2 linked regions of the Bombyx mori genome follow. The protein of the gene in region 1 binds, or shares a complex with, the protein of each later gene. Links are inferred from orthologs where the notes say so. Each region holds a gene or a part of one and is shown on either strand. Other genes may lie near its edges. The genes, in order: zinc transporter zipt-7.2 and protein-L-histidine N-pros-methyltransferase.

Region 1 (3,370 bases):
AATAATTATAAAATACCGATGATTTTAAGTGGAGATTTTAATGTAAATTTTGCATCGGAAAATTCTTTGAAGCTAGTTGAATTTCTGAAAGATAAATTGAATTTATCCATGAAAAACAGTCCTCAAACGTCAACAACAAGATCTGGCACTACAATTGATGGAGTTTTTACTCGGTCACTAAATTTCGTGGAATGTAAACCATATATTTCATATTTCAGTTACCATAAGCCATTAATTACAAAAATATATAATGACAATGACAATGATAGTAATAATTCTATTACAATTAATGAAATGCTGTAATAATCTTAGTAGCAAAAAGGTAAAGTGAAATAATTGTATTATTTGTATTCATGTCTATGATAATAAAATCCTTTTGTTTAAACTTTATCTAATTTAACTTTATTTAACCAATTTCTAGAAAGTTGCATGTAGATCATTTTTCGAAAAATAAGGCCATAAACAAGTTTCACTTCTTACGTGTGTACACTAGTACACGCACACATTTTTTCCGAAGAGATTTTGTTGGTAGCCTTTTTCCTGAAATATCTAAACAGAATGTCTAAATATGTTTTGATGACATATTTTAAAGAGGTATTTATGATTAGTGTCATGATCAATAGATTCCGATCGAAAAATGGTGTCCGATTTTTCGGATGAGGGCTCCATAATGAATTTAAATATATATATAGATAATAGTTTTGGGGCATCGACTTTCTTGAGATCCTATAAAATATGTTTTAATTATTATTTTTGTATGTTTCAAGCATGATAAAATAAGAAATTTTATATAAGCAATCATATTAAATCGATATCAAAGTCAATAAATAATGTACAACCCAAAACAGACGGCCGAACTGACGTGACAATGACATTTGGCGCGCTAAGCATGGCGGATTTTCGGCCTCATTAGACGGAGACGGAGACATTTACGTATATTCATGTTTCATTTTATGTACGCACTGAAATACTGTTATATTGTTTTCCTGCGAGTTAAAGTGCTGAGTAAGAACGAGATAGATATATGTTTATGTATGTGCCTTCAAAATGGGTGCTATTTATATAAGCAATTGTACGTATAGAACAATATGTCGTGTCCCTACTATATAGGTCTATGCGTTAGACTCATCTAGTGTGACATGAAAAGAGCGCGACGTTAAAACGCGGCGCTAAGTACGCGTTCTATTTGACGAATGCTTTAATGTATTACGACGAATTTTTGGCGGGAACGCGAGCAGTGAAGTTGTGTGGTTTGTTTTATTTTGTCTATTTAATTTTAGTGTTTCTTCAGGTTTAAATGTGTATTAATGGTGATTTATTAACTGTTTAATATCTGTGAAAGTGCACAAATGTGGGAAAATGAAACAAAGCCGCTGGACGTAACTTCTCGGGATCCTCCAAAAAGTCCACTGTAAAAATCTCAGTAAATGACCACCATTTTACTGAGATTCTATTTCATCCCCATCTCATCTCATCTCATTTCATTTTATTTCATCCCAGTTGATTAATGTCTCAAATTAATCATCTTCATTTCATTTCACTCCATATTATCATTTTTCATAAAATTAAGAATATAAATTAAAATAAGACATGACTTAAAGGTCTTAGTTACCACATCATAATCCATTAAAAAAAAGCTATCATATCTAAGCTATGACGCCTATGACATGTATGCTGTCAATGCTGTATGTGTGGTTTGGAAGTGATTGGTTTTAAATTTGTGAAATTGTGAAAATGTTTGTAAGGAGTGGTATAGCATATTTTGCTTTAATTGTGACATTTACTATAGTTTATGCACATTCACATTCGCATAGTGACGAATCTCCAGCTTTTAAGTACTCCAAACATGCCAACGAACAGAAAGAACATGATAAAATTTATGAACCAGATTACAACTTATACGTCAGTGCTTTGTGTTCTACATTGTTTATAAGTATAGTGCCATTCTTTATACTTTTCTTTATACCCATAGATGGTACAATTGAAAAGCAGCCCTTACTTAAAATACTCCTAGCTTTCGCGTCTGGTGGACTCCTCGGCGATGCGTTCCTGCATTTAATACCTCATGCACTCATGCCTCACAACGACAAACAAGGGCATAGTCACAGTCATTCCCATTCTCACGGAACCCAAGAACATGGTCCACATGACATAACAGTCGGTCTTGGAGTACTTGGTGGAATTATTACGTTTTTAGTTGTGGAAAAAACTGTCAGACTTTTTAGTGGGGGTCATGGACATTCTCATGGAGACAAAAAGAAGACTGATGATAAATTGAAAAAGAAAACAAAGGATAATAAAAATAAACAAGAAGACATCAAGATTGCTGGATATTTAAATTTAGCTGCTGATTTTACACATAACTTTACTGATGGACTTGCAATTGGAGCTTCTTTTATTGCAGGCCAAAGTATCGGATATATAACCACAGTTACCATTCTTCTACATGAGATTCCACATGAAATTGGTGACTTTGCCATTTTGGTCCAATCTGGCTGTTCAAGAAAGAAAGCTATGCTATTACAATTGCTTACTGCTTTTGGAGCAATTTCAGGGACCTTTATTTCAATTTACTTAAGAGGTTCAGGGGAAGGCCTTGTCTCATCTCTGATATTACCTTTCACAGCAGGAGGATTTATTTATATTGCTACAGTATCAGTAATCCCTGAGTTATTGGAAGGCTCGAACAACAAATTTTCCCAATCCATTAAAGAAATAATTGCACTCTTAGCTGGAGTGTACATGATGGTACTTATAGCACAATATGAATAAATTTATAGAATTTTTAGATAAAATGTAATTTTTTATTCCAATAAAATAACATCACAAAAAGTTTTCTTTTTTTTTTGTAAAACTCCTGTATCGGTGGAATGAATATCTCTAAAGACATTTGAAAATAAAACTAATAATAAAAAGGTAATTATCATAATATTACACTAAATAAATCTCACATCTGAAAACTTTCACAAAACTTATTTCTTCATAATTTGGTTTAATCAATGTAGCAATGCTGTCATAATTTGTCAGAAACTATTAATTGGAACAAGCATTCTCACTTATAACTTCTCCATTGCTGTATCTATGAATACCTAAAATGTTAATATTTCAAGTGCTATTAAGTAAATTTAAAACTATTGTTTACTGTCTTTTAGAACAATAACTAATAAACTGTAAAGTTTTGCTTTATTACTTATTAGAAACTGCGGGAAACGTTTTATTTACAGTTTTGTTTTCTTAATTTAGTGTTTCTTCTGCCTTATGCATGTAATGGTCTATTATTCTTCCAAAAAGTATTGAACTCTCAGTAAACTCAGGGTATTTTACTATGATTTTCCATTTTTCTCACCTAACATCTACAGCATTATCTTAA
Region 2 (3,839 bases), on another chromosome or scaffold:
AATTTGTTATTTTATGGAGAAAAAATTATGAACCAAATTATTTGTTCATATAAACACACGTATAAATAGCAATCCGATCTAACAATTAATTTGATCCTATCAGGATGTCAGATCGAATTTATAAGATTACTACTATGTATTGTCATCGATCTTTAATCCGTATGCAAATTATATAGTTAATCAGACGTCTCGAAGTCGGGAAATTTACATTCCCAGATTCCATTAAATACAAAAATTACACCACACTAAGATAATTAAAGCTTGAAAATTGTATGTTTGTGTGTCATGAGTTGAAGTTTGTATTGAACTTGACACATTAAGGAAAGTGTCCGTTTTTAGTCCCATAAATCTACGATAAGTGACGCTCGAATCATTCAGACCAATGAGCTTTTCATACATTCTTCAGAATCCATAATCGGGACTTGCTAGGCAAGAATAAATGATATAAACGTATTAAACATTACATTATATGAGGCTAGATATTGCTAGAGCGGTAATTAATACATCTGCTGTGTAATTATATAGTCATCTTTTTTTTTAATTGCTTAGATGTGTGGACGAGCTCACAGCCCACCTGGTTGTTAAGCGGTAACTGGAGCTCATAGACATCTACAACGTAAATGCGCCACCCATCTTGAGATACAAGTTCTAAGGTCTCAGTATAGTTACAACGGCTGCCCCACCCTTCAAACCGAAACGTATTACTGCTTCACCGCAGAAATAGGCAGGGTGGTGGTACCTACCCGCGCGGATTCACAAGAGGTCCTATCACCTGTTCCATTAAGAATAAAATCAATTTTCAGCGACCTCAGACCATAAGCCTGAGGAGCGTCTTCCGATCTACGACTGCTGCGAGTTCGAAGACCAGGTGACGGCCTTCGTGTCGTTCATGGAGAAGGAAGCCGGCTACGAGCTGGTCTCCTGGACGCGGACGCCGTACCTCTGCGAGGGAGACTTCGCTCAGGCCTACTACTGGCTCGACGACTCCGTATACGTGTTCAAGCCTAAAGCCATCCCATCCGAATGAAAGCTAAGCCATTACTTATAATTAACTCTTAACGAATTTTATCTGCATTTATTTAAACTAATAGTTTAGGCGTTTCGTCAATTTCAAATATATACTTATGTAACTAAGATATCTTATTTGTAATCGCAAAAAAATCGCGTTATTTATAATCGTTATTAGATTATAATTAAACACGTTGTTCAGTGATGAATGAAGTCTATAAATTCTTTTTTTATCTGTAATATACTATGATATAATGGCCACTCGCTTATTAGAATTTTTGACAGGTTTATATCACAGACATCTCGTTACCATTTTGGACATACATTGTCCACCTTCCATTGGGCAAATATTTTCAAAGACACAAAATTGATAAATTTGTATTTGCTTTGAACACGATATAACTGCCGTGATTTATTTGCAAGAGTATTAAGACTGTTGATGTATCAACAAATCGAATTACACTTGACACGAATTACACTTGCGTGCATAACTCGTCATTCCTGACATACAATATTAAAATAACAATACATTCCGTTCATTCTTTTATTTTCAGCCAGTAAAACATTTTAAAAATAATGTTAAGAATAACAAAGTAATAATGCCTTAAATAGAAGTGAATTGTATATACTTTACCGGTGCCTAATGAATCAGGTATAACTCGTTATATTAAATTAAACATTTTTGATATTAAATATTTAATACAGATTAAGTGACTTTTTTAATGTACCTACTCATTGTTGAGATTACAAAAACAAAATGAACTTTGGTTCCAATTTTCATATATTCCGTATGGTTATTATATGGTATTATACTGGTTAATTATATAAAATATGTATGTGTATATTAGTTATTTACTAACTTAAGGAAACGCTACCAAAGTGTATAATATGATTCACTCAGGGTGTAAGAGAAGCGCTCTCGTAAACGGTCATTGGTTTTAGTGATAACAGTTATTATTACATTGAATTGTATTGTTTTGGAACGAAGTTCCTTATCGCGCGTTGTGAAAGGGGGCTAGACGGAAAAAATTCTTACGAAAAGTTGTCACGACACTTTTTAGATCCATCATTCTGACCAATCAACGTGTAGGCGCTTATCGCGTGACATTGCTCGTATCCGATTAGCCCGCGTAATGAGTACAGTTTCTCGAGATAGCGTTTCAACAATAGTAATTTAGTTCATAGTATTGTTTTTTTCTTCTTCATAATGCCGTAATTTATTATTATAACTTAAAAAAAATTTACAATTCCTTCACTAATTAATCGAAAGGAACTTCGTTCCATCCGGGTGTCCCTTGACACCTCTGAAGTTTTTTTTATTCTTGACGTGAATAAATAATGATTGAAAAACCATTTATGTACATTTATATTTATCATCGTGACGTAATTTCAGTTATGAATCAGCTGAGACGCAGGGTCAATGGTCTCGCACGCGCGCGAGGAAAGTTGAGCGAGTTAGTGAATGTTTTATATACGTTTGAGATTTTATTTATTGTTTTTTTTTTCTATCTAAGCTGAAGTCCTTGAGAGGCTATTTCAGCGTAGCCCTATCAAGTAGGTGAGCTCGCGGGCCTCAAACCTGACGAAGCTGCTAATACTGACCCTAGCAAGAGCCGTGCTTCGCATAATCTACCACCGGATCGAAAACGCGACCCACTGAGAAGATCCGGCGAGAAACTCGGTGGGTTTTGTCTGTGGATTAATTTACTCTTCGAGCCCTTGGTCGCAAGCGACGGATCCGGCGAGAACGATGACCGGATTTATTACTCGCTAAAGCGCGTAAACATCGTCATGTCCTTAACGTTGCCTTGAGATTCAGTCTAAGCCTTTGTTATATTGTATAACAACAGTAATAGGCAGGGTGGTGGGAATCACACGTAAGGACCATACAAGCTACGACGAGTACATTGCCGATTAATGAAATATGGAATGCGATATGTGTTAAAAGGTTTTTTTTTACTGGTGGTAGGACCTCTTGTATGTCCGCGCGGGTAGGTACCACCACCCTGCCTATTTCTGCCGTGAAGCAGTAATGCGTTTCGGTTTAAAAGGTGGGGCAGCCGTTGTAACTATACTGAGACCTTAGAACTTATATCTCAAGGTGGGTGGCGCATTTACGTTGTAGATGTCTATGGGCTCCAGCTACCACTTAACAACCAGGTAGGCTGTGAGCTCGGCTACCCATCTAAGCAATAAAAAATAAAAGTGAAGCATGCGTCACTTAGCAAATCAATAAGATTTTCCATATGCAATAACTATTAGTAGAATGAGAGAGCGATTTTTTCAATAATAATAAAATAGCTAAAAATAACGTAAGTCAGCTTCACAAAGAATACCGTTTTTCGTTTCTAGTATTATTACCGATTCTGCATCGTGAACTCTTCTGTTACACCCTGTATGTTGATCGAGTGATTATATTCTTTTTTTTTTCTAACAAAGAAATTTATGTCAAATCAATATTTAAACCATTAATTAAGTATAATAAATGATTTGAGTATTAGAAAGAAATCAATCAAATTAATTGTGTATAAGGTACAGCGAGCTTATGACCGCGGTTTCATGCGTAATTTAGCGATATATATTATATTTTTCTTTTTTTATGAAAATTTGTTGTTTACGTCATCGTTGGCTGTCCAAGCGTGTTTTTCTTTAAATCGTGTATTTAGCCGAATGACAATGTAAAATACAGATCACAATGTCACTCTTTATATGGTACAACGCGGTTATAAAGAGGAAATGCGGGTGCTGAGAAAGTTATCTAAAATATATTTGTCTCCTCATCCGAATATAGATGAATAACAGAACAGAACATATTGAAAATAGGCAAATGA

The links.
Region 2: the proteins of zinc transporter zipt-7.2 (region 1) and protein-L-histidine N-pros-methyltransferase are in contact, whole or in part, in a crystal structure (PDB 8GZE), measured with the Homo sapiens proteins. The link is inferred for Bombyx mori from reciprocal best matches to the Homo sapiens genes SLC39A7 and METTL9. Residues at the interface, in NP_001070984.1 of Homo sapiens: Gly65, His66, Thr67, His68, Glu69; in NP_057109.3 of Homo sapiens: Arg114, Thr115, Asn118, Arg123, Gly124, Met126, Met179, Asn210, Asp213, Arg214, Val241, His245, Tyr247, Glu249, Trp255, Tyr295, Leu296, Cys297, Glu298, Asp300, Tyr306, Val307, Leu308.

The regions. Positions count from the first base shown.
Region 1 is NC_085110.1:11,413,106-11,416,475, forward strand, and holds zinc transporter zipt-7.2, read left to right. Parts: upstream 1-1,630; 5' UTR 1,631-1,734; coding exon 1,735-2,772; 3' UTR 2,773-2,832; downstream 2,833-3,370. UniProt on the Homo sapiens protein: Transports Zn(2+) from the endoplasmic reticulum (ER)/Golgi apparatus to the cytosol, playing an essential role in the regulation of cytosolic zinc levels.
Region 2 is NC_085117.1:14,642,041-14,645,879, forward strand, and holds part of protein-L-histidine N-pros-methyltransferase, read left to right. Parts: intron 1-803; coding exon 804-1,027; 3' UTR 1,028-3,839. UniProt on the Homo sapiens protein: Protein-histidine N-methyltransferase that specifically catalyzes 1-methylhistidine (pros-methylhistidine) methylation of target proteins.